Ovis aries: one gene and its partners. The protein of the gene in region 3 interacts with the protein of the main gene of each other region in a pairwise test. Links are inferred from orthologs where the notes say so. Each region holds a gene or a part of one and is shown on either strand. Other genes may lie near its edges.

What was found.
Region 1: the proteins of CEP76 (region 3) and CRYBA4 interact in binary tests that used the Homo sapiens proteins (3 or more experiments, as listed by UniProt). The two-hybrid records come from large-scale screens. The link is inferred for Ovis aries from reciprocal best matches to the Homo sapiens genes CEP76 and CRYBA4.
Region 2: the proteins of CEP76 (region 3) and DZIP1L interact in binary tests that used the Homo sapiens proteins (3 or more experiments, as listed by UniProt). The link is inferred for Ovis aries from reciprocal best matches to the Homo sapiens genes CEP76 and DZIP1L.
Region 4: the proteins of CEP76 (region 3) and AKAP7 interact in a two-hybrid assay, tested with the Homo sapiens proteins (3 studies listed by BioGRID). The two-hybrid records come from large-scale screens. The link is inferred for Ovis aries from reciprocal best matches to the Homo sapiens genes CEP76 and AKAP7.
Region 5: the proteins of CEP76 (region 3) and THRA interact in binary tests that used the Homo sapiens proteins (3 or more experiments, as listed by UniProt). The two-hybrid records come from large-scale screens. The link is inferred for Ovis aries from reciprocal best matches to the Homo sapiens genes CEP76 and THRA.
Region 6: the proteins of CEP76 (region 3) and C17H22orf39 interact in binary tests that used the Homo sapiens proteins (3 or more experiments, as listed by UniProt). The two-hybrid records come from large-scale screens. The link is inferred for Ovis aries from reciprocal best matches to the Homo sapiens genes CEP76 and C22orf39.
Region 7: the proteins of CEP76 (region 3) and TTC21A interact in a two-hybrid assay, tested with the Homo sapiens proteins (2 studies listed by BioGRID). The two-hybrid records come from large-scale screens. The link is inferred for Ovis aries from reciprocal best matches to the Homo sapiens genes CEP76 and TTC21A.

What each region holds. Positions count from the first base shown.
Region 1 is NC_056070.1:66,459,990-66,463,489, forward strand, and holds part of CRYBA4 (beta-crystallin A4), read left to right. Parts: intron 1-799; 5' UTR 800-811; coding exon 812-850; intron 851-1,743; coding exon 1,744-1,862; intron 1,863-3,038; coding exon 3,039-3,180; intron 3,181-3,500. UniProt on the Homo sapiens protein: Crystallins are the dominant structural components of the vertebrate eye lens.
Region 2 is NC_056054.1:251,716,063-251,719,562, forward strand, and holds part of DZIP1L (cilium assembly protein DZIP1L), read left to right. Parts: intron 1-1,003; coding exon 1,004-1,143; intron 1,144-1,353; exon of another isoform or gene 1,354-1,426; intron 1,427-2,911; coding exon 2,912-3,073; 3' UTR 3,074-3,500. UniProt on the Homo sapiens protein: Involved in primary cilium formation. Probably acts as a transition zone protein required for localization of PKD1/PC1 and PKD2/PC2 to the ciliary membrane.
Region 3 is NC_056076.1:43,547,447-43,550,946, forward strand, and holds part of CEP76 (centrosomal protein of 76 kDa), read right to left. Parts: intron 2,244-3,500; coding exon 2,026-2,243; intron 1,637-2,025; coding exon 1,498-1,636; 3' UTR 1-1,497. UniProt on the Homo sapiens protein: Centrosomal protein involved in regulation of centriole duplication. Required to limit centriole duplication to once per cell cycle by preventing centriole reduplication.
Region 4 is NC_056061.1:56,701,515-56,705,014, forward strand, and holds part of AKAP7 (A-kinase anchoring protein 7), read left to right. Parts: intron 1-2,135; coding exon 2,136-2,296; intron 2,297-3,500. UniProt on the Homo sapiens protein: Probably targets cAMP-dependent protein kinase (PKA) to the cellular membrane or cytoskeletal structures.
Region 5 is NC_056064.1:40,127,948-40,132,029, forward strand, and holds the start of THRA (thyroid hormone receptor alpha), read left to right. Parts: upstream 1-1,282; 5' UTR 1,283-1,584; coding exon 1,585-1,637; intron 1,638-4,047; coding exon 4,048-4,082.
Region 6 is NC_056070.1:72,728,495-72,732,659, reverse strand, and holds C17H22orf39 (UPF0545 protein C22orf39 homolog), read left to right. Parts: upstream 1-1,365; 5' UTR 1,366-1,379; coding exon 1,380-1,403; intron 1,404-1,506; coding exon 1,507-1,674; intron 1,675-2,427; coding exon 2,428-2,553; 3' UTR 2,554-3,955; downstream 3,956-4,165. UniProt on the Homo sapiens protein: Negatively regulates long-term potentiation and modulates adult synaptic plasticity. Stabilizes the interaction of RTN4 isoform A/Nogo-A with its receptors, inhibiting clustering of postsynaptic AMPA receptors at synaptic sites.
Region 7 is NC_056072.1:12,442,587-12,446,086, reverse strand, and holds part of TTC21A (tetratricopeptide repeat protein 21A), read right to left. Parts: intron 3,389-3,500; coding exon 3,222-3,388; intron 1,565-3,221; coding exon 1,442-1,564; intron 1-1,441. UniProt on the Homo sapiens protein: Intraflagellar transport (IFT)-associated protein required for spermatogenesis. Required for sperm flagellar formation and intraflagellar transport.

The DNA of each region.
Region 1 (3,500 bases), on a different chromosome or scaffold from region 3:
TGCCCGAGGGGGGCACCCTGGCCTCTCCCTCCCAGCCGAGGCCAATGGTGCTGACACCTCTCCATCGGATACACAAGCAGGGCTGGCTTTTGTTCCCGTCACTCACTTGCTGAGTCAGGGCTCCGTCCCCCAGGGGCCCTCTCTCCTCCCTGCCTATAAGAGCCTGACCTCGGCCGTTCCCGGGTCTGGCATGTTCTCTGGGTCCATCTCGGTAAGTCCCCGGCTTGGAGAAGGGGTGGGATTCAAGCTCTGGGTGAGTCTCCTGGGAGACAGGGGAGCCCCTCGTCCCCAGTCCTGGGGGGATACCACTGAGTCATCCCGCATGCCATCCTCATCGAACCAGGCTCCAGACCTTGAGACCAGTACCTGCGACCGCCATCTGAAACCCAAATGATTCCTGTAATCCTGCGGCCTCACCTTCTGCTCTTAGAGCCTCCCTTCTGGGTCAGGCGCTGTCTTTGGAAGGCTCTCAAGCTGAGCACCTTGGCGCTTGCCAGGGGCGCAGCACCCACCCACCCGCAGCCATGGAAAATTCCCCCTACTGAGTAGATAAATCAGCACCAAGGGGGCTTAGAGGAACGGGACCCAGAATGGGTTCATTCTGAGACAGAGAGAGGATGGAAGAGAAGGAGATGGTACTGGAAAGTGGAGGAGGGGGACAGCCCAAAGCCGCACTTTGCCCTTCATCTGGGGCACTTCTGGACCCCACCTGGGTACCCATCTGCTCAAACCAGACTTCAGCTTCAAGGAGGGGAGCAGAGTCTGGGTGGAAGCTTCCTCACCTTCTTCTGTCGCCTAGGAAACGAGCGGCATGTCTCTGCAGTGCACCAAGTCGGCGGGACACTGGAAGGTAGGGGAGGCGCTGGGGGTGGGGGACGACGTCGGGAGGGAGAGGGCACAGGTCAAACCCAGGTCCTGCGGACCCCTGCCCCACCTTCACTGAGTTCCCACCTCACCCCTGGAGGGGGGCGGTAATGAGGGCCCATTTCACAGAGGATGTAGTCGAGGCTGTGAGAGGGAGAGGGTCTTGCCCAAGGTCACACACAGAGGTTCTTGACTTGAACTTGGGGCTTCCTGTCCCCAACTTTAACCGTCTCTCTGGCAGAAAACAACAGGTCTTCCCTCTAGCTCAGACGGTAAAGAGTCTGCCTGCAACTCAGGAGACCTGGGTCCGATCCCTGGGTTGGGAAGACTCCCTGGAGAAGGGAATGGGAACCCACTACAGTGTTCTTGCCTGGAGAATCCCATGGACCGAGGAGCCTGGCGGGCTACGGTCCATGGGGTCGCAAGAGCCGGACAGGACTGAGTGGCCAGCACCACTACCACCAGCAGAAAAGGCCAGCCGGTGATGGTGCACAGTCTCTGGGCGTGATTCCTTTGGTTTCCTCTGTGTTAAAAGAGAAGAGGGAAAAAAAAAAAAAAACCAAACCCTAAAACCTCTGAATTTGTCATCAGCCTTTGAACACCGGGAGAGCTCACAGAAAAGTTCAGTTACAGGGGCTGTCTTGGGAAAATTGGACTGTTGGTCGCATTACCACGTGGCAACAGTAGGTGGCGCTCCCGGGGTCTCAGCTCTCACCCTCCCGTCCCTGGACCCTGAAGGCATCTGAGTTTGCCGGCCCTGCGTTACCTGGCCTGCCCCTCACTGAGTCCTGGGGTGCATCCCTAACCCCTCACCGTCCCCCATTCCCCCCGGCTGCCCAGCACTCTGATGTGGGTCCCTACCTTTTCTCTCCGGCATAGATCGTGGTGTGGGATGAGGAGGGCTTCCAGGGCCGGCGGCATGAGTTCACGGCTGAGTGCCCTAGCGTGCTGGAGCTTGGCTTCGAGACTGTTCGATCTTTGAAAGTGCTGAGTGGCGCGTGAGTCCAGGGGGATCAGAGTTGGGGTTGGGGAGACAGGAAGGTATCTAGAGAAGGGTGCTGGGACTTTTAGGTGTTCGAGGTCCTATCTTCCCAGGCTCTAACTGTACCGGTGTGCCTCCGTGGGTTTGAGATGCTGGGGAGCACGAAGGATGGCAGTGTAAGGTTGCGCAGGTTGTGCACTGCCCAAATGTAGCGGGGAGCGGGGCAGAGAGGTGGGGGGGGGCGGTCAGTGGTGCATTCACCGAGTCTGCACATTGGATGAGGCAGCCCTGTGGGGGCAGACCTTCAAAATCCAGTGTTGGGTCTGAAGTGTCTCTGTTAGGTACAAATCAAAAGTCAATATCACTCACCAAAAGTGGAAGGTAACTAAAAATATAGTGAAAAATAATGCTAGTAATTTTTAGTTAAGCATTGCTGCCTGACTGAGGCTCTGAGCATGAGATATGTTTTGTTTAAAAAGAGAGAGAGAGGGGACTTCCCTGGTGGCCTAGTGGTAAAGAATCTGCCTGCCAATGCAGGTGATGTGAGTTCGATCCCTGGCTGGGGAAGATTCCACACGCTTTGAGGTAGCTAAGCCCACGGGCCACAGCTACTGAAACCTGTACCCTAGAGCCTGTGCTCCACAACAGGAGAAATCACCGCAATAAGGAGCCTGCACACCGCAGCTAGAGAAAAGCCTCCACACGGCAGGGAAGACTCAGCGCAGCCAAAAATAAAATAAATTTGAAAACTTAAAAAGAGAGACGGAGATTAATGAGATGACCAAAGCTGAAGTCAGCACTTGGTCAAGTCTCATCTACATGGCCCAGGGGGACAGGCGCAAGGGTGGCAGGTGCCTGCCAGTCCCCTGCCTGCAGGATGCACGGTGGGGCAGCGGGCTTCTCCACATCGGCACTATGGATGTTTGGGGTCAGGCAATTCTGTGCTGGCGGCTGCCCAGTGCATGGGAGGATGTTTAGCAGCGTCCCCAGCCTCTACTCACAAATGCCAGTTGTAAATCTCTCTCCTCCGGACTCCCAGCAAGACAACTACAAATGCCTGCAGACATTTAAAATGCCTCCTTGGGTGTGTGTGTGTGTGGGGGGCAAAGTCACCCCTATATGACAACCACTGGTCTGGAACTCAGGGTCGGAGGCCTCCTCACCCCTTGTACCCTCTACCCTCTGTTGGCAGGTGGGTGGGTTTTGAGCACGCCGGCTTCCAAGGGCAGCAGTATGTGCTGGAGCGGGGCGAGTACCCATCCTGGGACGCCTGGAGCGGCAACACGTCCTACCCCGCGGAGCGGCTCACCTCCTTCCGGCCGGTGGCCTGCGCTGTGAGTCCTGACATTGCCTGATCCCTGAGGGCGGGGGTGGGGGGCTGAGCCCCTCCAGTGGGGGCTTGGAAATTGGATGTCCAGAGTTCAGGTTCTCGTATCACTGCTTCAAGCTGTGGTGGTCCCTCCCCTCTCTGAGCCTCAGTTTCTTCATCTTAAACTGGGGCCATGGTACTTAAGTTCTGGGGGGGAAAAATGTACATGCGGACGGAGCCCAGCACAGACATTCTGCCCATTGCTGCTCTGGTTGTGATATGAACTCCTTCCTGCTGTGTGTCCTTTTCCTTTTTTCTGGCCGTGCTGTGCGGCTTTGGGGACCT
Region 2 (3,500 bases), on a different chromosome or scaffold from region 3:
TCTGGCTTCAGTTGCATTTTCTAGCCAAAGTTTAAAGACTATAGAGCTTAGGTTTTGTCTTACCAAAGGCAGTAAGTGGACAAGCTGCGGGGTAAGCTCAGTTCTGTGCCATCTGTCAAGCTTACAGTGTCATGAATTCTGCGGAACTTCATCTTGTCCGAGGCATGGTCCCAGCCTGCCAGCCCATCGAACCCACCAGAACCAGATCTCTGGAGAAGAACTGACGACCTGCCAGGTGGATGATAGGGTGTAGACACCTAGGAACTGGGAGTGTGGAGTCCTTGACCACGCTCTGGGCTGTCACTTGCTCCCTGTGTGCTGGCGTGGAGAGCTTTGGTTCCTTTGTTGTAAAGGGAGGTATCTGGATAAGATGAGTGGTGAGGGGCAAGGAGTATAGTATGAACATAGTAGACCCTTAACTAACTGGCTTTTAATCAATCAGTGAGCCAAGGGTCATCATCGCTCGACCTCTGCTCAGGCCCCCAGACACTTGTGTCCTGGAAGGCCATGGCTGGCTCCCTGCTTCCTGGCCAGTCCTGAGGTCTGAACATCCACCTTGCTTTCTCACACTGATAATGTAGTCACTGCTTAGCCGCCTTCCTGCTAGGAGTTCACAGAAAGTGGGTCTGCCCTGTGCAAATTTATATCGATGATATTTCTTCATTTCTCTGTGAAGATGTTGGAGGAAAACCTACACATTGATCTTGCTGTTCATGTACCGACCGAGCAGCAGTTTCGCCTGCTGAGAGGAAAGGGCAGCTTGCTCAGCTTCTGTGCCCAGCCGTGCCCTGCAGGACATAGCACATTTCTGGATGTTCCAAGCCTCTTTTCCCCACCCATGCTGGCCTGAGCCTCTCTCTCCTTGCCTTTCTTCTACTGCTTTTGTCTTTCTTTTTTCCCTTCGGACTCTTCTCCATGCTCCCTTTATCCACACTGGAGCTGGGACTTGACCCATGGGGATGATGCATTCATACGCTGGTCTTCTCCCCTGGTTGCCTTCCAGGAACGCTGGTGCAATCGATGGTCAGAAACCTCGAGAAGCAGTTGGAGGCTCCAGCCAAGAAGCCTGCTGGAGGGGTCAGTCTGTTCTCAGTGCCCAGTGCCGGGCCACAGAGAGCTGCTGTGCCAGGAGGAAAGCCCCAGGTAGGCTGTAGGACCTAAGAGGCGCCCCTGCAGTCTCTTACAGAGCTGGCTCGAGTTTGGGGCCCTGGGCGGGGCCTGAGGGAGGGCCCGTGTGCGACACTACAGTTGACCTCACGCCCCTCGTCTCCTCTGCCCCTGCAGGAGTGGTGGGATGCCCACTCTCCAGTGCTTGTTGTTTGTGTCCCTTGTTAACATCGAAAAGCCTTGTGGTTCCTGGTGGCTCAGAGGTGAAAGCGTCTGCCTCCAATGCAGGAGACCCGGGTTCGATCCCTGGGTCGGGAAGATCCCCTGGAGAAGGAAATGACAATCCACTCCAGTATTCTTGCCTGGAGAATCCCATGGACGGAGAAGCCTAGTAGGTTACAGTCCACAGGGTCGCAAAGAGTCGGACATGACTGAGCGACTTCACCTTCACCTTCATTACATGAACAACCACTCGGTGGGTTGTTTCTCCCAGCCACGCATGCCCCCACTTCTGGCTCTGATGGGGCCTGGACCTGGCTCTGTGCCTGGCTTCCAGCAGTAGCTGCTCTATTCGGGCTCCATCCAGCTCATCCCACAGCCAAGCTCTCCCCTTTCTTCACTCCCCGAGAACCCCAGTGCAGGACTGTGTGCAGAGCAGACTGCTCCACAATACACAGTGGGGATATTAGGCACCTTTGTTCCAAATATCCAAGGCCATTCCTCATCACTAAGAATGTCTTAATGGCCTTGCCTCTCTCCAGCTCCAGCTGCCATCAGATTTATCGCTCAGATGCTCAGCCTCCCGGACAATTCCTGCTAGGATGTCCTTGCCACCTCCCCTCTCCCTGTAAGGGAACCACTTCTGTATTCCTGTTGTGTTTTCTTAGGCAGAAACATTTCAAGCTCTTGTAACTTTACCCTCCTTTTTCAATCAGAAAGATGCATCCTAGGATGACCTATGTTATTGCTCTAAAATTCAGAAATAATGGGCAATCATTTTTCGGTTTTTCCTAGCATACACCTCCCCTGGCAACCCCGACACCCACCCTGTGCTATGTAATATGTTCGGTTTATTATGTAGCTCATGTGTGTTTATGAGTAATGAGTCTAAATGATTCAAAATGTATTCAAAAAGAATTCATCCTCAGTTGTGAGAGAGCACCGACCGCGCTATGCAGGTTGAGGCACTGTCCAGAGCCTGCTTGCCACCTGGGGCCCTGGAAATTTCTGATTGGTTCCTTACGTTCCATGGCAAATGCTCTGGGCACTGAGAGCTCTGGTGGGGGTGGGGTGACCATGATTCTGGTTCGGGGACAGCCTGGGAGTTTGGCCCACGCTGGGCTCCCCTGTTGGCCCAGCTCAGACCTTTTCCAGGCTGAAGGATTCCTGCACTTGGAGTTCCCCTCATGCACCTTTGGTCAGAGTGTCTCCCAGCCCTGGACCAGCGGTCTGTGGCAGGTGCGGTGGATGCATTAGGCTCTGGTGAGTCAGCTCAGGAGTTTGGAGAAGTTAAGTCCCTGGACTTCGTCACTGTGGGCAGTTCAAAAATCTGGACAAAGTTTAAATTTCGACAAGCGCAACCTGATCTTCTACAGGCCTTGGGGCTGGCCTCAGTATGGCCGGTGGAATTTCAGGGGTGTTTTGCAATGGCTGTGACCCCAGGTCTCTGAAGCAGGTTCTCAAAGACGTGGACACCAGAAGATGAGAGGAGTGGCCCCTCCTGCTTCCTTCCAGATCTGCATTTTCTCCGCATATCCGTCCTCCCTGGTCAGATGCATTTTCTTCTCCCCTGTTCTCCCTGCAGCTTTCTGAGGATGAGAGTGACTTGGAGATCTCTTCCTTGGAAGATCTCCCACAGGACCTAAACCAGAGAGAGAAACCAAAGCCCTTGTCTCGCTCAAAGCTCCCGGAGAAGTTTGGTGCCAGCTCTTGGAGCCCCAGTCAACCCAGGGTCCCTGGCTGGTGAGCCTGCTTCTGATTCTGGGAGCCAAAGGACCAGCCTTGTTGCCCAGCTGTGTGGGGCTGGCCCAGAACCCCCCAACGATGGGGCCGCTGGGCCTCTTGTCTTCCTCAGGAGCCAAGAGGTCTTCTCCTTGGACAGAAGCAGAGTAGAAGACAGATATGATTTCTCCCATTCCCCCATGAGAGCCCTGGCAGTGTCCCATGGGTCCCAGGGCTGAGAAAGTGTTGTAACAGGACCTTGAAAGAGCATCCTTCATCTACCTCCATGCTCGCTCCAGACTGAAAGGAGACACTTGGTCTCTACTCTGCAGCGTTTTGTAAACCTTGTAGAGCTGGGTCTTTTATGGGGTCCTTTGGGGGATGTACGCCTGAGTCAGCCATTCAATAATTGACCCAAAGTCACTTACTGAGGTCGTCTGGCCTCTTACTGC
Region 3 (3,500 bases):
CTGCCTCCTAGTACATGCCTCACAAATAGTTTGTTCCAAAAGCTGAAAATTACAAGCCATTTTTCCTGTTGATAGCTTTGCAAGTAACTCTGGTAACAGACCAAAAAGTCTTAATTCTTATCTTGCTGATTCTCTAAAGTCATGTCAGTCTCAAGAAACTTCTGATTTCTGGTCATTTTCAATAAAAATTGGTATGAGAGATTATTTTCAGACTTTTAAAACAAGTTATATCATAAATAATTACATATGTAAAAATTAAAAAGTAAATTTTAGAGTATCTTTAGATTTTAATTTCTAAAATATCATTTTATTTGCCATGTTGAATTAGCAATGAAAAGCATAACTTGCACAGCCACTTGGTATAGTCACTTTCATAAGAAGCCCAGTGGTTGCAGGAAAGAATGAGAGCTGTACAGAGAGGTGGGTGGATGGCAAGGCAATCCCATCAGGCAGCTTCTCACAAAGTTTAAACCACTACAGCCTCTTCAAAGTGCACTGTTCTCAACTTAAAAACAAACATCAGCATGGAGGCACTCACAGATGCTCGTTTTTCAGTGGCCTCACATGATGATTCTCTGATTTACATTCACCACATACACATGGATGCTTTTATCATAAAGAGAAAAGAAAGAAACAAAAACTGTGATTTCAAAAGATAAACTCCACGAGAGGCTAGTAAAGAATGCTGTGACCACAGAAAATCAGCAACAGACTGCCAATATCAATTATAGAAAACAATTTTCAACATACAACTAAAGGGTATAATAAATTTTTTCTAAAATAATTCAAAAATAAATAAGCAAAAAAAATAATAAAATACACAATTCACTTTTACAATGAATCAAACTAACAAATACTTATAAATTATTTGTATACTTTCATGTGTGGTTTGTTACTAATAATAATGCTTTTCTGGTATGAGTTTTTTCTCTGCTCCTGCACCCATGTCTTCCCATAACTCTCTAGAGAGTCACAAATATCCCTGTAGTTATGAGTAAACCACGAAAGTGGTAAATTCATCAAAATGCATTTCATCTATGTAATAAATAAATGTTGTGAAGTTAATTTCTCCTAATTTATATAAAATAATCCCATTACTCTATGAAAAATAATGATCGTATTAACTTCACTATGGCTCAAATCCTTAGGCAAATAACTTTCTGATTACCTGTTAATGCAAAGAAAACTAAGTAAATTTTATTTTCATATTTAAACTACTGACTACTTATAAGCAAAGTAGTATTTATTAAAATAAGATAAACACTTAATTTATACTACCATCCTCTCAAATTTATACAAGTTTTTCATCCTTAATTTTTAAACACACATCATGATACTTTTCAAACATTATTAGTGAGGCTTATATAAAAGTTAAATATGACATCGAAGCCAGATTGTGATTTTTAAAGTAATGAACCTCAAAACACCTAGTATTATTATCAACACAATGTGTAAAATTCTAATAAAACACAGGTATAGTCTTATAGAAACTTAGTCCTATAGTACTGAGCGATATTTACAAGCAAACATGATCCAAACAGCACAAGCAGATTCAGGGTAAGTAAACACGCGGACACGAACTGCCAGGCGCACCTGGTCTCCACGGCAACAGATGATTTCTTCACAGAAAGGAGACCTTAGAAGAGAGAAAATGGATTCAATTAAGAAATGAATTTAGGTTTTACTTTATTTCCAAGAAAGTCGGGTATTGAAAATGATTTTTAAAAATCCTGTCTCTGTTATCAAGGACTCTGCAACTGTGGTAAAACTATTCAAATTATAAACTATTTCCTCATAGCCAATTAAGTTTTTTAAATTACACTAGACAAGATCAGTGATCCTTGGCAGAAAAACGACCCTGAGCTCTCCAGAGCTACACTCTGGCCCTAATGAATCAGAGTCTGAGGCAAGAGGACAGGTCACTACAGAAGCTCCCTGTGTGACTCTGAAGTCATTCCTAAATTAGTGCCAAGTGTTCACTGAAATTATGTTAAAAACACCAAGACATCATAAATTCCACCTTACCGAAGACATGTGGCAAACGCGCGCCTCGCATTTCTATACACAAAGTGTATTGGGAACCCTTTAAATGTGTGGCCATCAGGCACAGCCCTTCTGATAGCATCCTGAAACTCTTCATTGCCCGCAGATATGCTTGTTGTACGCTCAAATTCATAAGACGCCAGAGCTGGTGACAAGAGATAAGAAAGCTGGTCTTCCCAGACAGTAGTGAGGCCAAGGTCCTACAGCAATTGAAATGGAAAAAGCAAAATACAATATTTAAAGAAACTAATTATAATGTTGATTATTTTAATGTATGCCAAGAAAAGATTTTTAAAATCTGTCATAATTTTCTTAACTTCCTATTAATTATTATAAGGATACAAAGAAGTAAAAATCATAAAAGGAAAAACAGGTATCAGGTTTTACTTCTTAGAGAAATAACAAAAGGCAGCCAATGCAATGATGTTAGTGAAGGCTGCAAATGCTGAACTCCCTTAATATCCACAAGGAAAGACCATAAGGAATTGTCCTACTGAGGAAGACAACATGTCAAGGAATTCTGAGGTCAAATTTTATTTAACTTTAAAGACTTTCACAAGATTGAATCTGCTTAACCTGATTACTCCCACTATCAACTGAACTGTAGTTGGGGAGAAATGTCAACAAATTGCACATATAATTAAACTCAAATATTTACTGAGCATTTATTCTGTAAAAGACACCAAAAAGCAGAAGCTACAGGCCCTCTGGGAGCTTAAGACATGCTGAAGGCAATTATAATTTCACTATGACATCAAATGAACCATTGCTACCTTGACATGTAATTTTTTTAATGCTACAAACTAAAAATTCTAAATATTTTGATTATTATAACAGATCTAATCTCACATTCTGTTATAACTGGTTTCAAGTAGGGATCACTTATCTTCTTCCTGTGACTCTTACCTGTGGGCTTATAGACACCATTAACTTAGCAAGCAACCATCTATGGCATCCAGCTCAGCTTTGTTCTCTTTTTTCTAAACAAGTAGTTCTTATAATGTATTAAAATGTCAGTTTCACAACCTAGATGTCCATCAGCAGATGAATGGATAAGAAAGCTGTGGTACATATACACAATGGAGTATTACTCAGCCGTTAAAAAGAATACATTTGAATCAGTTCTGATGAGATGGATGAAACTGGAGCCAATTATACAAAGTGAAGTAAGCCAGAAAGAAAAACACCAATACAGTATACTAACACATATATATGGAATTTAGAAAGATGGCAATGACGACCCTGTATGCAAGACAGCAAAAAAGACGCAGATGTGTAGAGCGGACTTTTGGACTCAGAGGGAAAGGGAGAGGGTGGGATGATTTGGGAGAATGGCATTGAAACATGTATACTATCATGTAAGAATCAAATCGCCAGTCTATGTCCGATGCAGGACACAGCATGCTTGGGGCTGGTGCACGGGGATGACCCAGAGAGATATTATGGGGAGGGAGGTG
Region 4 (3,500 bases), on a different chromosome or scaffold from region 3:
GAGTGAAGCGACTGCCTACAATGCAGGAGACCCGGGTTCAATCCCAGGGTTGGGAAGATCTCCTGGAGAAGGAAATGGCGGACCACTCCAGTATTCCTGCCTGGAAAATCCCATGGATGGAGGAGCCTGGTAGGCTACAGGGGTCGCAAAGAGTCGGACACGACTGAGTGACTTCACTTTCACTTTTCATAGTGAGTGAAACTGATTGGGGTTTCTGCAAGACATTGATTATGTGAAGGGTTTTCTGAGTCCCTAATCTTTTAATTTTATCTTTCATCCCATACAGTATAATATGCTAGACATCTGTATTGTTAGTTTCTTTTTCTATATCCTTACTTTTCAAAGTCTAGTATCATATTTTAGGTATTTAATATAAAGTACTGGTCAATGGGTGAGATAAGGAGTATACAGAAACATTTTTTTTTTACGTAATGAATTTCTTCAGGTAGATGGCATGTTTTGTGTCTTCACAGTGCAAAAGAAAGAAATAGAAATATATTAATCCAGATACTGATTTGAAAAGATGGCTGTCCTGTCTTTGTTTTGAGTACAACCTTTGGGTCTCAATTCTAGTTTCAGAATTCTGTTTCTTACATACCTATACTCCGTTCAGTTTATTATTATAAAGAAATCTTTCCATAAACAGTTCTTGAAAAGATACTCTATTTAAAAGAATTTTAAAGTCAGTGATATTTGCCAAGAGGCACTGTGACTCATTTTCACTCTGTGACCAGTGACATCTCATTAGGATAAATTCATTGGTTTATATTACTACAGAGTGGAAAAACTGGACTGAATTTGGATCATTTATATTTCTTTAAAGAAAAATGGAGTGTAGAATTCACTGTTTCTGAAAACTCCTGACCTTTAGGATGGCCTGCTTTGCTGTAGCATTATATTTAAAGTGAGTATCTTGATATTCATCCCCTGATTTATGGAAGATGAGCCGGAGTAGCTGTTCTGTTTCACATGCTTGAATTCAGCCCCTGGTGAAGATAGCACTGCAGTAGCAGCGTGTCTTTTTGGATGAAGATAAATACAGTCAGGAAAGATTGGATTTCGGATGTGAATTTGGAGGTCCAGTGAGAAATGTTGACATTTCTAAAGCTGTTTTGAAGTATTATATATTGTTTGACAGAGAAGTAAGACCCAGTATGGAAAACTGTGGATGAAAATCAGTTAAAAACTTAAAGCTAATGTAGAAATATGAAACAGCTAGAAAAATGTCTAAGTTTCTTTTCACACGTTTGACATCTTATTACTATTGATGAACGAATTGCTGATCAAGATAATTTAAATTAAGGTGGTTCACTAGAAGGGTATTTTAAACCCCTCTCCGTAATGTAAAATGTCTTTCTTTCTTTCTTGAGTGATTGCTGCCCCCTAGTGAGATTTTAGTTTTATTCTCATTATAAAGTCCCTGTACTAAAATCCTCTTAGTATGGAAATAATTGATCTTAATTTTCAAAATATTCCAAACCTGATGATGTCTAATTCACTAATATAGTAAACTTTTATTTCTATAAAGAAAAAATAGTGCATTTGAAACACAGAATAGCCCTTTAATCAGATAGACTAAACATATACAGCAAATTTATGTCACTATAGTTGTAAACTTGTACTTTGGTCAAGTCTAAGTCTAATTAATTATCTTATTATGGAGACTGTTATATTTTAAAGAGATAATATATTTTAAGTTTTAGTAAAGTGCTTCACAAATAGTAAATACTGTGTAAGTATTAGTACTTTTAACAAGAACCTTAAACTTTCACATGATCTGATATAAACTTTTGTAGGTATTGGGCTTTTCTGCAATATATTGTCAATATTTTTTTTTCTTTAGTTGTGCATGCAGTATTTCCTTGATTTAAAACCTTTTGGTAAACTATAACATGTTTTGTATCTTTAAAATAAAATAAATTGCAATTAGGTAAAGATTAATTCACTTATACAAATTTTGTTTAAAATTAATATTTGTTTTATTTTGATCATATGGATTTGATTTTGAAGGTATTCTGAGCATTAAAATAATTAGTACAAATACAAAAATTAATTTATCTAAAACTCTTTTCTTATTTGGTTTTGTATATTTTACTACATATTATATTACTAAAAAATATATTGTCTCTTGCCAGTGGTGTTGATGCTCTTTTGGAATTAAAACCATTTGTAGAAGAAATCCTCCAAGGAAAACCTTTGACTTTGCCCTTTGAAGGGGTTGACACTTTCGGAAATCAGGTTGGATTTGTGAAGCTGGCAGAAGGAGGTCACATAAACTCACTTTTGGAGATAGCAGGTAAAACAAACGGCGATAAACTTACATGAAATCTCATTGTTGAAGAGGGAATTTTTTTCTTCCAATTCTTATAATAGAGATTTGACATCTTTCAACTTTGTGGGGGGCAATGTAGCCTCACTTTATGAGTGACCTACTTCAGCATTTGCTTGTGTAGATAAGTAGCCGAATAAAAGGCCAGAACAGTTACTGTATCTTGATCCTTTGACTCGGGGGAATATGTTGATTCTGGAAGATGATGGACTGGACCCAAGTATTTGTTAGGACCATCCTAATCATAAGTCTGAAGGATCCAGTGCTTATCATGACATATAGCTGGCATTAAGTAAATATTGAATGAGTTAATTAGAAACACCAATTGCCTGTTCTGCTTGTGGGGATTGTCAGCCCCATTTGGGAGAGTCAGTAGATGAATCAGTGACATTTCCCTCTGTGCTACCTTTTTTCCTTCCTGTTTAGGTACCACTGTCTAAGCAGAAGGCCCGTTGGTGGTGGTAGAAGGTCTAACATCCATTGGAGAACAAGCTGCTTTCTGCAGCACAATTGAAAATGTTAGGGAAATTTGTTGTTGTTCAGTCTTTCAGTCATGTCCTAATCTGCCACCCCATGGACTGCAGCACATCAGGCTTCCCTGTCCTTCACCATCTCCCAGAGCTTGTTTAAACTCATGTCCTTTGAGTTGGTGATGCCATCTAACCATCTTTTCCTCTGTCATCTCCTTCTCCTGCCTTCGTCTTTCCCAGCATCAGGGTCTTTTCCAGTGAGTGGGCTCTTTGCATCAGGTGGCCAAAGTATTGGAGCTTCAGCTTCAGCATCAGTCCTTCCAATGAATATTCAGGGTTGATTTCTTTTAGGATTGACTGGTTTGATTTCCTTTCTGTCCAAGCGATTCTCAAGAGTCTTCTCCAACATCATAGTTTGAAAGCATCAATTCTTTGGCAGTCAGCCTTCTAGGGAAATAGAAGCAGAAAATGATAAAACCTGGAAGAGTGCTTTTTTGAGATGATCCAGAGATCATAGTTTGGGTGTTCATGTACGTACTGTAAACAATTTTTATTTTTTTCTCTCATGTCAGATCATTTCATGTCATCCTGTTTCAGGTTCAGTAATCCTTAATTTATAACACTCTCTGATCATTGCTCCATGCTGGGCTTATTTTTCTCTGTCTATCTGTCTTAAAATAATATCATCTGGGAATCCACCA
Region 5 (4,082 bases), on a different chromosome or scaffold from region 3:
TGTTCAAGCTTTCTGAGGCTTCGTTTACTCACCTGCGAAGTTCTGATACCAGAGGGCATATGTTCTATGTGCCATTAACGGGGGTTATTTTCCATTCCCTGTTCCCTTGCCTTCCTGGTGGGTGGCAGCTCAGCTAAACCAATGGGGAAGGGGAAGCCTGGTCCTCAGACTGGGAAGTGTGATGTGGGACCTTGTATGGGAATCACCTTGTGGGGCCAGGGTTGGGGAGTCATAACTGGGCCAGCAGCTGGGGGAGGGGGCAGCTCCCTACTGTTTTCAGCGTCCCTCTTCATTGAGGCACTCTGGTGGGTGTTCAGGATTCCTGCATGCCACCTCTACAAACCAGGCTTCCTTCCCCAGTACACCCCCCTCCCCCCCTCCGACCCCCTGCCGCCCTGTGCCTGGGCTCAAAGCTGCCCATCTCTGGTGGCCTCTTGCTTTACACTACTGATGAGTTTTAGGAAAACTTGGCGAGGGGGTTGGTAATAGCAACTGATGTTTAATAGATGCATATTAAGGGCCAGGAACTTCCCAGGTGGCGCTAGTGGTAAAGAACTCGCTTGCCAATGCCAGAGACACAAGAGAGGCGGGTTCGATCTCTGGGTCAGGAAGATTCCCCTGGAGAGGGAAATGGCAGCCCACTCCGGTATTCTTCCCTGGAGAATCCCATGGACAGAGGAGCCAGGCAGGCTATAGTCCATGGGGTCGCAAAGGGTCAGACACGACTGAAATGACTTAACACACACACAAGGGCCTCACTTGATTGTGAGGATTGAGACAAGGTACATGGATGACCTCATTCTTTCCCGCCATCCTTGTTCATGTCTGGAGATCAGGCTGTGGATCTCCAGTCTTGCCTGCTCTGTGGTGGTTCTTTATTTTTTTGCCTGCTCTCTGTTGATTTGAATGGTTATCCTAGTCCTCTCCCTGTGCCTGCCCTCTATGACTACCACTATCTCATTATTTTCTTTTTCAAAGTATTTATTTATTTGGCGTGCTCCAGGCCTTAGTGGTGGCACACTGGATCTCAGGTCTTCCTTGCGGTATGCAGGAACTTCAGTTGTGGTTTGCGAACTCTTAGTTGCAGCCTGTGGGGTCCGGCTCCCTGACCAGGTATTGAACCTGGGCCCCCTGAATTGGGGGCATGGAGTCTTAGCCACTGGAGCACCAGGGAAGTCCCCCATCATCTCATTATAAGCCCGAAAATGTTGGTACCAAAGGAATCCTATTCACCTAGCCCCACCATGGCGCCACCTTATCCCTGCCTCTCTCCTCTCTCTGCAGGGACCTCTGGACAGGACAAGATTCAGAAGTTACTCTTCCCACCCAGGACCCCTTTACAGACCCAGCTTGCTCCCCGACCCAGCCCTACCACCTGCCATTCCCTGGCCCCTTTCACCGCCCGCCCCCCTTGGGGCTCAGGGCATGGTGTGAAAGGCCAAGTGCTGAGGCAGGCACCATGGGTGCTGTGCCCTAGGGCCTGGGTGGCAGGGGGTGGGTGGCCTGTGGGTGTGCCGGGGGGGCCAGTGTGCCCACCCCAGTCTCTCGGCGTGCTGGAGGGCATCCTGGATGGAATTGAAGTGAATGGAACAGAAGCCAAGCAAGGTGGAGTGTGGGTCAGACCCAGAGGAGAGCAGGTAATGCGTTCGGCAGCTACGTCGTGCCAACTCCTAGGCAGCAAGCAGGGTCACCTGGCTGGGCCCAAGAGAGCTGAGCTTGGGCCTTTTAAGTACCTCTGTGGTGGGGGCCAGGGCAGGGGCATGAGGCCAGCCAGCCTGCTGCCTACCTTTGCCCAGGAGATGAGGTCATGTTCCCATGTGGCAGGGAATTAGGCACCTGGATGGACAGATGCCCATTCTAAAAGGGGGAGGTGATGTAGAGTAATTACAGGCGGCAGACACATGGCCCCTCCCTGGATGGTGCTGGGCATCTCAAATCCTGCCCCCCTCCCTGGTCCCCTCGGCCACCCTCACCTGCATCTGTGGAATCCAAACAGCCTTGCCATTTGCCTCCTTTCCTCCTCTCCCTAGCAGCTCATTCCCTTCTGACTGCCATTGTGCAGTCCAGAAGCCATGGTGCCTGTTACATGACATTTCAGGGAACATGGTCCAGTAGCTGTTGGTCACAGCGCACACTTATATTTGGAAGCTATTGGGAGCCTCACAAGCTCTTCCTTGTTCATGGGCAAGGGCGGGCACTACATGGAGCTCCTCCCAGGAAGTGGAAGTGAATACCAGCTATGAAGATTTTGCTCCCACGTGGAGCAGACATCAGCCTTGCACACACAGCTAGGGATGGCTTACCTACCATCTGCAGTGCCTTTCAGGAGCCCAGAGGGTCTCTGCCTCTCCCATCGGCTCCAAGCAGCACAGAGCTCCGTCTCTGTTGGCATGGTGCCCTGGGAGCTGGGTACAGCCTGTGCCTATGGCCGGGGAGAGGGTGGGGGATGGGTGCTCTGGGGAGCAGTGTGGCCGTTGCCTAGGAGACCAGATCCTGAGCCAGGAGGCTGGAGTCCTGGGCCAGCAAAGCCTTGGGGCCCAAGACTGGGTCCCTGGAAGGGTGGAGTAAGTAGATGGGGCTGGTGGTTAGGTAAGGGCAGTGGGGTATCCCCCTACCCAGTCCCTACCCCAGGGAACTCTGAAAAAGATGTACCCTGTCATTGCATAGCTTTCTCTTACAGCCTCTGTACCTCCATGCCCAGACTTCTGTGGGTCTGGGAGAGTCTGCTCCTAAGGCACAGAAAGGCGGGAATGCCAGTTCCTGGTCCCCCCAGGACTGCAGCCCCTCCCCTGACAGCCTCCCCTCCCCCATGTCCTTGCGCCACCTTGTGGCTAGCTCTGGTACTGCACCCAGAGGCGGTAACTGATTAATTGCTGAAGACCGTCAGTCAGCTCAGCTGGGGCCTTGATAGCTAGGCATTCCCCCATACCCACCCCTCCGGAGACAGGAGGCAGATCTGACCCTCGAACCGTTCTAGAAATTAAACAGGGGCAATCCCCAGGGTGTGTGGGACACAGAGCTATCTGTGACTGTGACCCTGGCCAAGGTCACTGTGTCAGTGTGTTGGTAGTTGCATGGGACTCTGGAGGGAGGACTCTGCAACATGCCACACGCGGGGTGGGTGTGAGAGGTTATACAATCCGTGCATGCATGTAGAAGCTTATGTAATCTGTGTGTGCTGAGGTTATGTAACACATATGTGGAGAGGCTGGCCACATGCATGTGCAGTGGCTGAGGGCTGCTATAACACCTTACATGGAGGGGCCCTAGGTCTTTGTTCTGGCTCTGACCCCTGCCCACCGTGTCAGCTGGCACAGGTGGGGCCTCAGTTTGCTGTTCTGTTAAATGGGGCCCATGGACAGGGTGGCTTTGGGAGTCCCATCCTTTTCTCATGTTCTTGAGTCTAGGTTCTGGTGGTCCACTGTGGTTATCTAGCGTGTATGCATGAGCTGAAAATCAAATGACATGCTCGCTGTGGGGAGGGGCATGGTATTATTAGGTGCCTGTCTAGAGGGTTGTGAAACACGTGGGCATATCCTTGAGGCCGTATAACATTTGAGAAAGCCCTGAAAGTCACATCCACATAGATAATAGAGACTGCTGCTTATGTACCATGCTTGGGTTTATACTGAAGGCAGCATAGGTGTTCATATGTTCATATGTGCTGGTTTTATGCTGCATATATTTGTGTGTATTCTAAGCTTATATAGTTTTAAGCGTGTCCTAAAGATTCATGTCCTGAGATTCTTTCTGCATATGTGTCAAGCACTGAAGGCTTAAATATGTGGATGTTTTATAGATGATGGATGTTTAAGGTTCTCTAATGTGTGTGTGAGTGTGTGTTGGGACCCTTGAACATACTTGTGCTCCAGCCAAGCCCCTTATTTCTTGCTCAGATAGCTGGACCCTTCTCAGTTTTGTCAGCTGACCTGAAGGTGCGAGGTAGATGGAGGGAGTCAGGCCTGAGGCATAACCTCAGCCCCTTGGATGCAAAGGGGGGCTGCCCAAGGTCTGCTCTCTGATTCTACCCACTTTGCCCCTATCCAGTACCAGGTCACCAGATGGAAAGCGAAAAAGAAAGA
Region 6 (4,165 bases), on a different chromosome or scaffold from region 3:
TTTGATTTAATTTGGACAGAACTGGTTCTTTAGTCTGTTTTGTAAAAAGAGCTTCGTGATGAAGCACAAATGTAAGTGTTAAAATAAATGAAACCTGAAGATATGTTCTCCCTACCTCCCACTCCCAGTTTTAAATGTATTAAATTTTCCAAAGTTCTGCTGGCCTTTTTTTTTAAAAATTAGTGTTAATTTAATTTCAGGTCTCCACTTTATATAATAAGAGCTCCTTTGACATGTCAGTTCAATTATTTGAATCTCTTGTTCCTTGAAAATAATTTTCGATTATGAATTTCAAATGAAAAACAGGCAGTGACCAAAACCTGAATTGCCTCTACGCGTCTGATTAGGTACCAGCATGCGGCTGACACCTGCTGGAAAGGTCCTCTGCGGGCTTCTCCGACCCTGGGCCCAGCAGGGGCCCCCCTTGCCTCTGCTCCAGGCAAAGAGGCCCATCTCCACAGGCTTCCCTCAACTCTCAGGAGACTGTCCCCCGCGGGAGAGTGGTCCCAGGGTTCACCCACGTGTCCTCAGAGAAGGAGCATTAGAGTTCATCGTGATAATCAGGGTTGGGCCCTGTGACCCAAAGCCACACCCAGGCAATGCAAGTGGTTTCGGAAGTCTTGAGCAGGCTGTGACCTGCCGGACCCTCCAGGGGTCTCGGCTCGCTGGCAGACGCAGACGCCCTCTTTGGTGGGCAGCCTGGCCTGTGAACCACCACGGCAGGACGCCTTGGTGAGACTGCAGCTCTCCGCCCTGACGCAGACTCACCCGGCGGGTAACTGGCGGTGGCTAGGCTGGGGGAGGCGGAGGAGCACCGCGGAGGGGTCGCAGGCTAGTCCTGAGGCGCCGTCAGCCTCCTTGCCGTCGCTGTCATTGCCTCGTGCGCGCCCTTCACGGACGCGCCTGGTTCCCCGGCCCCCGCCTCAGCACAGCCTCACCCCCGACGCCGCCTCGGGACGCCCACCCGCAGGGCCGGCTGGCTCCCCGGGCCGCACGGCCTCCGCCCCACTCCGCCCCGCTTCCTGCCTGCACGCCCTCGGGAGGGGACACGGGCGGGACAGCCGCAGCCGCAGGCTTGACCGCGCGGCGCTGGAGCCCGGGGGCGCTGATCTATTTCAGCGACCGGAACTGCGAGGCGACGAAGAGAAAGCCGCGGGCAGAGACTGCCCCGCCCACGCCGGGCTCGGCCCCGCCCCCCTCGAGTGTCGGGCCCCGCCCCCAGGCTGTTATTGGCTGCCAGCCCGGATGTCCCGTTCACTGGCGCATCTCAAGGAGGTGGGCGAGGAGCTACTGGCAAAGCCTCGGCGCTCATTGGTCCCTCTGCCCGTCAGTCACGCGGCGGCGGCGGCCTCAGGAGGCGGGCCCGGCGGTTCCGGAACATGGCGGAAGGTGAAGGCTGGCGGGTAAGCTCCGTGGGCGCTGGGGGCCCGGGGAGCCGAGTCCGCCGGTCGGAGCGGGCGGGCGGGCCCCTGGTCCCCGCTCACGCCCCCGTGCCCGCCCCCGCAGCCGCCGCGCCCGTGCGAGGCCTACCGCGCGGAGTGGGAGCTCTGCCGCAGCGCCGGGCACTTCCTGCGCCACTACTACGTCCACGGCGAGCGGCCGGCCTGCGGGCAGTGGCGGCGCGACCTGGCCAGCTGCCGCGAGTGGGAGCAGCGCCGCAGCGCCGAAGCCCAGGTGAGGCCAGGTGACCCGAGCCGGCCCGCCGAGCCCCGGAAGGCCGGGAACCAGAGGCGCCGGGCGCGGGGGGCGGGCCTGGAACGGGGGCTTCGGGCCCAGCCCTCCGCGTGTGCTTTGATTGGTATCATTCAAAGGCCAGTCTGGCAGCCAGGCTGGGAGAGGGCGTGGTGCAGTCACGGGAGTCCAGTCAGGAGGGGCCCTTGGTCCATCCGTTCAGCAGACGCTTCCCCCTGGACGCTCTTGGACGTACAGGAGAGGTTAGAACCCGATCTCTGCCCTCCTGACTCCTACATCCTAGTCTGGCATACAGTGGTGCCCTGGAGCTGATGGGGCAAAGGGTGGAGCGGAGCTGTGAGGGTGCAGAGCTCTTGGGGTGTGCCAGCAGGACTGGCGAGTGTAAATGCCCAGTCCCTGAGCAGTGGAAGAGAAAGTTGGCGGGTCTGTGTGGCAAGAAATCAATAACTGATACACAGATTGTCAAGATAGCTCTTATATATCAGTATGAGAAATGGATTTCACAGTGAAGTGGACAAAAGGCATAGAGAAGGGATTCACCCTGAAAGGACGTCAGATGGCCTGATACACATTTAAAATGACGGTGAGTGGTTTCTGCCCAGCGGAACATCACTGGGGTTTGGAGAGTGAGCACCTGGGCAGTGCTAGTGGAATGTGGGGTGTTTTGATTGCCTAAATGTCAAATGCATGCCTTTTGATCTCAGAGGGCTGCCCGTGACCCGGTCTCCTTTGCAGCGGTCCCTGTGTGAAAGCGAGCGGGCCAGAGTTCGGGCTGCACGGAAGCATGGCCTGGTGTGGGCGCCCAGGCAGAGCCCCCCAGAAGACTGGCACCTCCCTCTGCCTGAGGACAAGGACGGGTGACCGACCCAAACAGTCCAGAGGGCCCCTGGGAGCTTCCGCCCTTGCCTCCAGCCTCGCCTGCCCTGCCGTCATCACCAGGCTTGGAGCCGGTCCACCCAGCATGCAGTGTCCCTGTGGGCAGCCAGGGAGGCTGTCCCAAGGGCTAGGCTCCTCAGACGAACCCTCCAGGGGCAGCTCTGACCCGTGGGGACACTTGGGGGGGAATGAGGTGGCCTCCCCACCGGCCCTGCTCTGGTGGCCACCACGCACCTTGGTTCTCTCCCGCCACGGCCACTCACTGCTCCTTCCCTCGGAATTTCACCCAGTCGTTTTTAGAAAACGTGGATAATATCAGAAGAAATTTCACAGGTTTGATTCCAAATAGAAACTGCAAATTACACCCAGGCTTTCATATTGAAAGTTAGATGCAGGCAGGGTTAGAATTTTGTACGTTTTTGTAGATGCTCTTAGAATACATGCCCTTGAACCAAGAACCCTCCTTTAGAGGTCTCTTTCTTCTGCTGAAATGGTGTAGCCTCTGGGGCCGCGCGGCGGACCCACCACTGGGCGCTGTTCACCCAGCCTGCGGCATCTCGGCGCCTCCCCCTGGGCCCCAGCCAGGGCACAGGCGTGGCTCCGCATCACGGAACCCGTTCTTGGGGGCAGAATAACCCACCCCTCAGAAGGACGTTCATTATTGGGCCCCCGTGTGCCCCAGGAGTCCTCTGTGGCTATGAGCGGTGGGGGTGCATGCACGGGACCCCCGGAGCAGAGGAGAGCATAAAGAAGGCGCAGGGTGCCCCTTCTGGCAACAGCTGAGCCCATCAGCCGCGGCTGCAGCTCTGTCCACGGGCATTTCTGTGCGAGGAGAGGGTGGCATGGCTGGGTCCTCCCGGGTCTGAGACCCCCCGTGGGGGGCTGTGTGCTGGGAATGGCAGCCACCCCCTGGTTCCCGGGATTCGTGCAGCAGGGCGCAGGCACCATGAGGAGCCCCACGCCTGCTCGGATGCTGAGCGTGCCTCCAGTGCAGGGGAACATGCCTGTGTCAGGCATGTCCACGCCCTGGGACCGCACACCCAAAACGGACACGTCGCCTCCGTCCCATTGAGTTCAGGGGACGGACATGGACGTTCAGGCGTCAGCCGTGAAGGTTGAAACGGGCAGCGTCTTTCAAACTCGGGACAGAGGCCATGGTGACGAGCAGTTTGGGTGGTGACCCGGTGCAGCGTGGTCTCAGGGACGCTGGCAGTTCTGGGGCCAGGGTCAGAGCGCCATCCTGGGGAGCCTGTGATACGAGGATGCGCGGCGGGGAGCCGGGCCCCGCTCGGGCAGCGCTGTTGTTCTCTGGTGTAGGTGAGACTGGCCAGCCTCCAGCCTCCTGTCAGCCTCTCGTGACCTCCAAATAAAAGTTTGAGACAAAACAGTTGGCCACGACCTACTGACTTGGTTATCCAACCTCACCGAGGAAAGCTACAGGCCTGAAAAGCACCTGTGAGGGGTGGGGCGGTGGGGAAGGCTCTGAGTGTAGCCCTGTCCGAGGAGCAGTCTGGAGGCTTGCAAGGCCGAGAAGGAGCCACAGGCTGACGAGGCCGGTGCACAAGCTGCGTGCTCACTCAGGTGAAACGGCCCCTGG
Region 7 (3,500 bases), on a different chromosome or scaffold from region 3:
AAACAAGAAGAGGAGTATTCTAAATATAAATTTACGTATAGACGTGTTCACTGAAGCTTTCTTTCTACAGATACAACTAAAAACAACCTTAATATACAAACACTAGGAGGCAAAGTTGGCAAATTATATTAGGTCCACGCAGTCGTGGCCTGACTTTATGTCAAAACGACATGTGCTTATGACACAGCCCTACATGAAGAGACCAAATGGCAAGGTGCCCTATGATAACAGCCACATGAAATCCCCCTGTCTGCTGTCCTGTAGCAGGTGCTGTGCGTGACCCCCTTCAGGACCAGGGGTTGGGGGTGGCTGTTGATATCTCTTGGAGGAGCCTCCCTCCTGGGCTCCCCTGTGGCTTCAGGGAGCCCCCAAGTACCAGGTTGCCCCCATCCCCGAGGGGCAGCCTACAGCCAACATCTTGTCAGGGAGGGGGTCGGGGCAGGGCCACCCCAGCTCCAGTTCCAAGCAGAGCTGGCTGAGGCTGCCGCTATGGCTGCTGCACAGTCCAAGCTCTCCCTCCTACTTCTTTCCCTTTCCCTACACATGTCGGTTCTGAGGGCACAGCCTGATAATCCTCCTGTGTGATAGCCTCATGGCTTCTGCTCCCCCACGAACCACTGAAGGTGCACCCTGAAACAACGCGCAGCAGAGAGACGAGGAGACACGGCCCTAAAATATTGCCGTGGGTTGTTTGCGGGATGGCAGGTCTAAAAGGAGGCCATTTTGACTTTTTTAGACTTCTGGTTTTTCAATGAGCACGCATTCATTTCAGGTGGCACTAGTGGTAAAAAAAAAACAAACAAAACATCTGTCTGTCAATGCAGAAGACACCAGAGATGTGGGTTCGATCCCTGGGCTGGGAAGGTCCCCTGCAGGAGGAAATGGCAACCCACTTTGGTATTCTGGCCTGGGAAATTCCATGGAGAGAGGAGCCTGGCAGACTACAGTCCACGGGGTTGCAAGAATCGGACACGACGGAGCATGCGTGCAAACGTATTCATTTTATAAGATAGGTACATACAAACAGAAGCAGGTAAGAGGATGATTTTTCCTCTCATAGACTGATTCAGAGAGGGTCACATCAGAAAAAGGCAACAATTTAAGATCAGAAAATACAAAACACATACCTTCTTTCTCTTATGACCAAGTGAGTGAGTTTAACAGGTGAGATGAGAAAAGAAAACGTAGAGGAAAGGGACAGTGGGTGAAAACAAAAGGGATAGAGAGAAAAAAGCCCACCAGAGCCCAGGGAGCATAGGTCCTGAGGAGATCTTAGGCAGGAGACAGACAGAAACTCAGACAGGAAGGACTGGGGCGGGCCCAGCGCTGCTCTGTGGCCCTGGCCCTCTCCGGGACTCTGCTCTTCATCCACCAGGTGGGGCCCTAGAGACGGAGGCCCCTGGCTGGGGACACTCCCACCCCTCGCCTCCCCACTGCCTACCTTTCCCATCAGCCCCAGGACGTCTCTGGTGTCCTGGATGCCATGCTCCAGGTACTTGATGGACTTCTTCACCGTGTGGGGTTTGTCTGAGCTGAGGTCCACCCAGCCTCTGAGCACATGGCCCTGGCATGAGAACAAGGGGAAAGGTAAGTCCTCGCTCCTGCATCGCCTCCATTCGACTGCCTCTCCTGCCCCACTTCCCCCTCTTTGTCACTCCATTTTCCGAGGCCCTGCCAGGCACCGCTGCTCCCAGATCCCAGGGCAGCCCTGCTCTCTCTCTCGGGCCTTCCTACCTCTTGTTCCTTCACCTGGAAAGCCCTTCCCAGCATGCACCCCCTAGCCAGGTCCCTTCACCTGGTTAACCACCACCAGTCGCTAAAACTCAGTGGAGGAGGCCCGTCCCATAGGAGGCCTTCCTTGACCCTGCAGGCTGGGCTGAGGCTCTCGCTGTAACCCCCATGGTTCTCTTGCCCTGCGTTGTCACTGTCTGTTTACACTGGGGTCAGAGCACCATGGCGGGACCACTCCTGTTGCCTCCGCTCCTTAGACCAGCGTAAGGGCTTGGCCTGGACGGAAAGCTGGGAATGCCTTCTGAGTGGGCGGGTGGCCACTCTGAGCTCATGGGCCTTGCCGGCTCCTCTCCAGCCTTTGCCCCACCTTGCCCGGCACGTGTGGCAGGCCAGGCCTGGGAGGCAAGATCAGAGGGGCACCTGGAAGACCCTGTCCCAAAGCACCACTCATGGCCTAGAGAAGGTTTCTCAATTCTTTTCCATTATTGCCCTTCTAATGAGCCTTTTTCCCCTGGAGAAGGAAATGGCTACCCACTCCAGTATTTCTGCCTGGAGAATCCCATGGATAGAGGCGCCTGGTGAGCTGCAGTCCATGGGGTCGCAAAGAGTCAGACACGACTGAGCAACGGAACAACAACAAAGGAGCCTTTTTAGATGTTTCCCACCTAGTCATTCTCTGCCCCTCCAAGAGAATTAAGTATCATGTGTACACTGACTGATTTTACGTTCTGTGCGTATATTTGTGTTTTACATCCAATCAATGAGATTTTTCATCCTCTCCTTCAAGAAGCAATTTCCGCCCCCTTGAAAAGACCCTGATGCTGGGAAAGACTGAGGACTGGAGGAGAAGGGGACAACAGAGGATGAGATGGCTGGATGGCATCACCGACTCAATGGACATGAGTTTGGGTAAACTCCGGGAGTTGGTGATGGGCAGGGAGGCCTGGCGTGCTGCAGTTCACGGGGTTGCAAAGAGTCTGCGACTGAACTGATTGACTGACTGGGGGGCTGGGGGTGATACACGCCCTGCTGAGATGCACGGCCTAGACTGAGGCTTCCAATTCTACAGTCCTTCGGCCCATGAGACCGCCACAGGTGAGATCTACTGTGTGAGCCGAGCAGAGACACCGAGCAGATCTCTGCACGGAGGGAGTGCAGGCCCAGTGAAGCCAGCTCATCTAGTTTTTCAAAAGAACCAAGAAATCTGGGACTTTTAGGTAAAAATGTTCTGATTTCGAAATGCTAGCAACTATTTCAAGATTTTAAAACTATATAGCACAGGCCATAAAACACCTATCTGCAGATTGGACTCTATGGACAAAGTCCAGTTTGTAGTTGGCTAAACCCTGAGCCAGCATGGGCCTTGTTGGTGCCTGGGTGTGACCCTCCCCCAGCCCTAGTGCCCTCCATGGGAGTCAGAGCCACTCTGTATGACGTGTTTGGATGCTGCTTTCTTTGGCTGTTGCCCCCACGATGCCAGGGGCCTGTACCTCTCTGGAGCTGCTGGAAACCTTCAACGTGCGGTCAATGTACTCCTTGGCCTTGTCGTGGCGGCCCATGAGCCAGAGGAAGAGGCCAGCATAGTACAGGGCAGTCCCACTGGCTGTCTTGCGGACTTCCTTCAGACTGCTCTCAAGCTCCTGAATTGCTTCTCGGTCTGGGAATTCGTGAGAGGGGGAAGAGGGCAAGTTAGGATGGGGAGGTCTGTCTGGTCCTTCCCCTGGACACTCTGAGCCTCCCACAACACATGCAGCTGACCACACGACAGC